Linked DNA regions of Oryza sativa Japonica Group. Each later gene encodes a partner of the first gene's protein in a complex. Links are inferred from orthologs where the notes say so. Each region holds a gene or a part of one and is shown on either strand. Other genes may lie near its edges.

Region 1 (3,856 bases):
CAAAGACAAACCTAAATTCTCTACGACTGACCACGCCCACCACGACCCCGTGTTCCTCGGCCGCCATCTTTCTGCACATAGAAAACATTGTTCTCCATCAGAATTAACACTGGATATAACAAAAATAGAACACAACAGAAATAAACTCAGTAGTCTTGTAGTATAAAACCATACCCTGTATGTAAGAGACTGGTTGCCACGGCCCCTTGCATTCTGTTGAGTGGCTGAGCGAAGAATCCTGGCTTGCCGGTTTTGCCTCGCTCTCTCAGTTAGGTTGATTGTTCTGGTACTACGAGTTTCAACACCTTCTGCTGCAGTGGCGGGATTCTGCTGTTCAGAAGATGCACCAGCTTGGACTGGGTTAGGAGGGGTGGGATTCTGCTGTTCAGGAGGTGCACCAGCTTGGACTGGGTTAGGAGAAGGTTCACGTGCAGGGCTTGGTGACGCATCAGCCATTTGGCTCGGTGACGCATCTGCTCCACCAGATTGTGGTACAGGGCTTTGGTCTGATTCCATGGTACCATCACCTTCTCCAGTTTCTTCTGGCATGTCAACATCACTCTTTTCAGTTGGTCCTGCTGGAGATGCCGCCCTGAAAGAATCACCGGCTTGCTCACCAACATCCAGCACAGGGGGAGTGCTGTCTGGTTGTTCTGGTTCATCTGGCAACTCTCCCTCCTCCCTCTCATCTTCAACATCAGTGGTTGCAGTAAACTGACCCTCTTCCTTCCCATCCTCAGTTTTCAGGTCTTCCTCCAGTGATTCCATAACCGCTTCTGACTTGACTGGCACATCTTCCACAGTAGTTGCATCATTATCAATACCAGTTTCTGCATCTTGTCCTTGGATGTCCATTGAAGCGTCTATATGTGTTTCCATGTCATCCTTATCACCCAAGTCATCCTCCCTTGTTTCCTCAACCTCTTCAACTGGCAAGGAAGACTGATCGGTGTCCATCTCTTCTCCAGGCTGTTGCTCATCTAACTCTGTAGATGGTAGCACAGGAACAGGTGCCATGACATCTTCATGAGGTGACTGTTCAGTTTTTAGCTCACTAGTACATTGTGAAGATCCTTCTTTGGGTTTCTTCAGTGGTGGATTGGCATCCGTTGTCTCTCCTTGTGAAGCATCATCTCTCGTTTGTGGTGATGGAATTAGACGTTTACGACTTGATGGCTGTAACGCAGATACACCACCAGGAGTTTCACGCTCCATCAACAAGCCGCCTTTCTCTGTGGAACCTTCAACTACTGTTGTATCAATATCAGCTTGGGGTTCTTCAACTCGTTCAAGTGAAGGTCGAACAAGTGGTCTCCTTCCTCCTGGTCTACGTACTTCAGTGCTTGGTTTGGGCAAAGTAGAAACTGCTCTCTCCTCCACCACTTTAACTTGAGCAGGCCTTGGTGGAGTAGCTACCTGTCTCCCTGAGATTAGAAAAAAAAAAAAGCAGCAGCCTTATGAACTACCATATTGATCAAGTGACGGTAAAGCAAAGGAAAAACACATTATTCAGATCCACGCGATGGAACCAATGCAAGAAAATGATGCATTAGAAATCCAATATCATATCACATTCCGAAGTCCGAACAATATCTGACATGCCAAATCATTCAAAACCAAATTCACATCGAGTTCAAGAGTACATGTAATAGATCAGATCTAATATAATTTCTGAACTAGTAAGTATCACATGTCATTAACAGATACTATGATTAACTAATAGAGATCATTAAATATACACTAGCAGCGTGGAATGAAAAATTGAACAGAAAGGAACCTGCAGTAGCTGCAGATGCATCCACATCGGCACTTTCAACAGATGGTGTCTGGCTTGCTGCACCATCTTGGAAGGGACTCGGAGACTCCTCAACAGCTTTGATGGCAAGGAAATATGAACGCAGCTGCTCATCGATTGCAGATCCAGATGGGATTTGAGAGGATATTCCAGTATAATGCTGCAGAGAACGCACATCAGCTGTAGCAAAGCTCTAAATAAAATATACTAGGAACTTTCATTTGCAGCAGCAATAATGAAACATGAAATCTATGGGAGCAGATAAACTGTACCTCAATCACCTCTTTCACAGCCTGCCTATGCTTCTCAATTGATTCCTCTACTTGTTTCCTTTCCTGCAATTAATTTTCGAAAGCAACAAGTGGATTAGAGGGTGCGCATATACCACACACTAACCAGGCAGGACAGATTAATTATTGGAGAAACAAGCAACTATGAAGTTGTTATGTTGCATTTTTAATAGGTACACATCATGTATCATTAGGTAACAAATACGAGTAAATACTAAGGAAACAGGTTGGAGCAAGCTGCAATGCATGCTAACTGATCATTAAGGGCTATCACAGGAATGGGACATGGCCTGAAAAGCCAATAAGCAAACCCCAGACAATAATTTACTATAGTGTACTATAATTGCCTGTGATCATGCTAAACATTAACCATTAGCAAACTCAAATGATGCTACATTTGCAAGCTTTAAACAGTGAAATTTCATATTCTAAGAAATCATTCAATAGAAGAAAATGTAACGAAAAGTGTAGATCATAATGATAGGCTTAATACTCAGGGTTGGTTTGGCAATGGACATGAACACTTAGCATTTGGTTTATAGCCCAAACAAACTATACAAAAAAATTGGCAAGGGCAAGAAAATGTGTGTGTTTGGTTTGTTGCCATAGATTTTGTGTTGCCAATATTTTGGCAAAAACAATCAATACATCACAAGCAACATTGACAAAAACTTGGTTATAAACCAAACACTCAAACTTTACCAAAATTTGGCTTGCCAATTTTTTGGTAAGGTTTAAAATGGCACTTATTCTTTAGAACATTCATAATGATGCCAACTTTCCAACTCTAGAATACACTAAAACATCCTACTTAAAAGTTTCATCTTGTATATCCCAGAACACATTAAGTTTTTCATTTTTCTAAGTTCATCTGTGAACATGTCAACATATCAATCTTTCATTATCTTAATGTCTACTTCCTTGGCTTTTCTTATTAGAAAATCTACTGCATCGGTTAAAAAAAAGGAGAAAATTTCACAAACTACGGATTTAAGACAAATCACAAAACTATACATTTAGTGCCAAAACTAGGGAAACTATTTTGATCCCTCGAGGGATGTCCCCTTGTTTGCTTAAAAACCATCCAAATGGTTATGAAAAATTCTGGAAAAGATCGACAACACTCATACAACATAAGTATACAACTCCATAAAATCTTAGGTCCAAACGCAACGCACACGTCGAGAGATATAAATAGTAGGTCGAATTTTTTTCATAAATTTTTACAACTATTTGTATCGAATTTGAAAGAAAAAGGTACACGACGGGACATCCCCTCAAGGGATTAGAATCCACTCCCCCAAAGCTATCAGGTACAGATTTAGGGAGAAGTATCACAAAACTACAGATTTATTGCTCAAGTTATAAAAAAACTACAGATTTTAGATTTTCAATCCCTAGCACTACAGTTATGTTGAAGATATAGACGTTGTAGTTTTGGGATTAAATTGGCAATAAACCAGTAGCTTTGTGACAAATTTGCTACTTAATGTGTAGCTTTGTGACAATCTGTATTAAATCAGTAGTTCCATGATAAATTTGGTGCTCAATCTAAACCCAACTGACGATAAACAAAAAAATTTTTAAGACAAGACTGTACTCAGGCTAGTTGAGGAAGAAATACCTGATTCATATTTTGAATGGCGGTAGTAAATACTTTCTCATTCCTTCTGCGGAATGCTTTTTCTTTCTTATTATCATCTCTCTCTTTCTCCAAGACTTTTTCCAATGTCTGTTAATATATGTTTATGTAAGAAACCTGAAGGAGTTC
Region 2 (4,039 bases), on another chromosome or scaffold:
TGGATGTATGGGGCGTCATCAAGATGAGGCATATGTAGAATGACATAGATAGCCCAATGGCACTTCCCCAGACACAATAATTGGTAAACAAAACTCAAATCTAGCACATGAAGATCATTTGAACTGAAAGCACCGATAGCTTCCAGAATGGAACACTGATGCCAGATCATATGGTAGTCCAAGGGATCATATGAAGATGAGAATGCACTGAACATAGTTTTTAGCATCCCAAACTTCTCGTCTTGATTTGCATGAAGCAGCATTAGATAAAAGGATATGTCAAAGCGGTCACCTGGGGACCATTGAAGTGACTCATCAAGGGGTCCTTCATCTATATATACAGGTACAGGATATGGGACTTTGCCCTCACCAAGGAGCTGGTGATAAGAGTGAATGATAATATCAAGTGATGCATCAGGTGATAGTTGATACCACATTATTAAACCAAGGTACCGTTTCCAGTCAATTGATGAATCTACCAACGCGCCTTGTACATTACCAGAAAGCAACTCATATATCTTTAACCTGTCTTCCTGAATATAATCAAAATCCAGACCATTTGTTTTCCATAGATCCAGTTGCTGAGAAAGGTCAGAACGATTTAGCATTGACCCACCTGCCTGGCTTAGCAAAATTGCCAGTCGAACATCACCCCTAAAGGCAGCAACTTCTGTGGCTGTGTCTAATTGCCGACCAGTCAAAAGCAGAATAATATGTTCCAGATACCTGGCATCATTTAAGGAGCCCGCCTCTCCTTGAACCCGATGACAAACACTGTCCTGTAACCAATTGCTAAAGTCTGCTCTTCTAACCAAAGGGAGTGCTTCAAGGTCTATGGCAACAGTACCTTCTTTCTTATCTAAAATCATCCCCTCCTGGTCCTCATCACCAGTAGGCTCTAACTGGTTACCAGTTGCTCTTTCTGAGAACAAGACCCGAATAAGCTCCCAAACTGTAACCTGGTGCATTAACAGCACACGAGAAGACATAGATAAATCACTGACTTCAAGCTGCCTTTCAATGATGTCAATATAAGATCTGCAAATATCTGGCAACACAAAGCGACTTGCCACAACCTTCTGAAGCTTCAATTTAAACAAGTCAGACTCAGTCTCCAGATATTCATGATGAAGCCTCCTATGGAGATCCAGCGGGTCTGAGAAGCACAGATCAGTCAGCTCCTCCTTAATTTTGTTCTTCTCATCACGTACAACTTTGTCGCCTGCAACTTTCTCTATGTGAATAACAGAAGATAGACCAGTTCCGGGTCTATTGACAAGACTGCCAGAATGTACAAGGATGCCATTTGGTCCCCAACCAACACGAAATGACCTGCCCATAAATAAAGCAGCATCCACAACACAATTGGAATATACGTTCCCAGCCACAGGAGTTTCCTGATCAGATGGCAACTTAAAGCCATCCACCTTGGTCATTCTCACTGGAAATCCCTTGTTTTGCCCAGACATAAGAATACCATGAGAAGATGGGCCATGTTCTGAAGAATTTACACTGTATTCCAGCAGAGCCTGTGGTTCTCTCCTACCAATTACACCAGGTCTCCTGCTGACTTTCAGAGAAGAACCATGCAAAGGAGAGAGAGACCTTAGCCTCAAACCTTTAGCACTTGAGTTCGGTGAATCCACATTCATCTTCTCACTGCTGAAGTATCTCTGATCAGATGGGAATCCATCCTCCATATCTTCATCACCTTCCTCATTGGAGAACATCGTCATCCGCATTTCATGCATCTTTGCAGGGTCAAGCCCAAGATGAGCAGGCAACGAACGTGAAAGCTCCAGCTCATGACCATTTGCAGGTGGGTCTCTTACTTCCGCAATAGGCTGCCGAACAACCACCTCATCCATCACAACATCCTCTTCCTCCTCGTCCACAAGACCGAATCGACTAAAATGATCAACCTCGAACTTCCACCTGCCGCTCGAGTGGTTGAACGAAACGAACCTAGCGCCTTGCTTTCTCGTTTGACACTTAAGCAACTCCCCAAGAGCGCTAGGCTCTGGAAGCACGCTCAAATTCAGCATCAACGTCACTTCTGCTGGCTTATTAAGACCTTGCCCTAAAGGCGGCTTGCTAGCCTCATCCTTGTAAACCTCCACAGAGTGCCTACCGAACTTAACGATCCCATTCAGGTCCATCCCCCTCACATCAGTGTCACCGGGGAAGTGAATTCGCCCATACCCGACCCTCCCGACGACGAAATCCGGGACCCTGCTGCAGTAGCCAGGGTCAGCCGCCTCCCTCTCCACCAGCTCATCGATCGACGGCTTGGTGAAGTAATCGCCATGGCGGAGCACGGGGAACACCGGGTCGGAAGACATGGCAGGCCAATGAGGCAACCGAGACAGAATCAGCAAGCCCTAGCGCCGCCGGACTTCATAGCTTCATGCGCAGCCAAGCCCTTCGCTCCACCAAACCACTCCAGATTCAGATTCTTCTCCTCACTTGGGAAACCAACTGCTGCAAACAAAATCCCCCAACAAACTGCAGGGGGTTCGAGAGGAGGAGAGATTCGGATTAGATTTGAACAAGGGGAATGAACTGCGGGTGGATCTCCGCGCGGAGACTGCGCAGGGGGTCGGGAGGGGAGGAGGGCTACGGGAGGAGAGCGGTTACCTTCGAGGGCGAGGAGGTTCGCCGGCGGGGAGGACGCCGCCGCAGCCGCCGCGAGGGGGAAGAGGAGGAGGCGGCGGCTTGAGCGGAGCGGAGCGGCGGCCGGCGAGGAGGAGGAGAGGGGGGAGCTCGCACTAAACCCTTCGCGAGGATTTCTGGGGCATCCGAATTATCGTGACCGTTGGATTGAGTGATGGAGCATCATCCTGCCGTTCATTTCCCACTCCAGCATCTCTTCTTACGCTTTCCCAAGTGATCCGAACCAGGGGCCAAAGTGAAAAGTATCAGACCTGTAGTACCAACGGGAGCGGTCCAAATAAGTAATAAGGGGGTAAAGCGAAAATTTATGGATCATTGCTAATGGTAGCGATCATAATCACTTAACCAGGGGCTAAAGTAAAAAAATTACGGAGCTTGATAGTGTACTGCTTTGATAGCAGTCCAAATAAAAGGACTAACGTGAAAAATGTTGTGGATCGCGTGTTACAAATGCGATTTAGAAATGGACTAGTTTGAGAACTTCCATGCTGGGGGAATTAGCGGCTCAACTCGGCAGCGCCGGCGAGAAGGTCAGTCTAGATTTATTATTACGGTTATTATTAGTCTTTTTGATAAATTTATTTTATAAATAGACCTCTAAAATATTCCATGAATATACCATTTTTCTCAACACCAAAGCTTATTGGCACCTTGGCGTCAATGACACTTCTACCGACACTCTTCCTACCATGGTAGCTAAGTTACTGATGTAAATAAGGTTTGTGTCAAAGAGACTAACACTGAAGGCTTATTTGTAAAAGGATTCGAAAAAAGGTTTAAATTTTCTCCAACAAAAGCATCGGCATCTTTAGCATCAAAGGACCTATATTTATTATAAAAATATTTTATAAATAGGTCCTTACACCTCTACATCTTGGCTGCTAGGGGAGCAAGGGTGTCGGCACCCGCGCGTTGGCACCGATACGTTGGACCTCGGGGGCTAGAAAATTGTCCATTTTCCTAGAATAATTTTTCTATGGTCTATTGTAAAACAAGTTTTCAAAAAAGGTCCACGTAAAAAATCTAGGTAGGCCGGGCGTTCGCCAACGATCCATTTGGCAGACAGCGGCCCATGCGGAATCAAGTCTTGGACTCGGGTTGGGAGAACTCCAGCGAGGTAAGAATATTATGAAATGTTCATCGTTTTCAGAAATGTTTAAGACACATTCGACTGCAGTCTGCAAAACCATATCTTGGTGCACAGCAAGCATATATCTTGGTGCACAACAAGCATACATTTATTAGTTTTTCTTTTGGATACACATGTTGCCCCTAAGGCCAACACTGCTTACAATCACCCATGGCCTTCTCACTGTTGCAGAACTGCCACTTTTACAATGGGAAAGCCACACCTACATGGTCCTTT

The links. The genes of interacting proteins can lie anywhere in the genome.
Region 2: nuclear-pore anchor (region 1) and nuclear pore complex protein NUP96 share a complex: the UniProt entries of both Arabidopsis thaliana proteins name them as parts of the nuclear pore complex. The link is inferred for Oryza sativa Japonica Group from reciprocal best matches to the Arabidopsis thaliana genes NUA and SAR3.

What each region holds. Positions count from the first base shown.
Region 1 is NC_089036.1:31,504,548-31,508,403, forward strand, and holds part of nuclear-pore anchor, read right to left. Parts: intron 3,818-3,856; coding exon 3,710-3,817; intron 2,131-3,709; coding exon 2,068-2,130; intron 1,956-2,067; coding exon 1,778-1,955; intron 1,425-1,777; coding exon 175-1,424; intron 72-174; coding exon 21-71; 3' UTR 1-20. UniProt on the Arabidopsis thaliana protein: Component of the nuclear pore complex. Acts as a docking site for activities required for desumoylation and mRNA export. Required for the proper expression or localization of a subset of miRNAs.
Region 2 is NC_089037.1:3,868,832-3,872,870, reverse strand, and holds the start of nuclear pore complex protein NUP96, read right to left. Parts: upstream 2,801-4,039; 5' UTR 2,638-2,800; intron 2,506-2,637; 5' UTR 2,343-2,505; coding exon 1-2,342. UniProt on the Arabidopsis thaliana protein: Contributes to the transfer of mature mRNA from the nucleus to the cytosol. Required for both R gene-mediated and basal disease resistance. RNA export seems to play a critical role in stress responses and regulation of plant growth and development.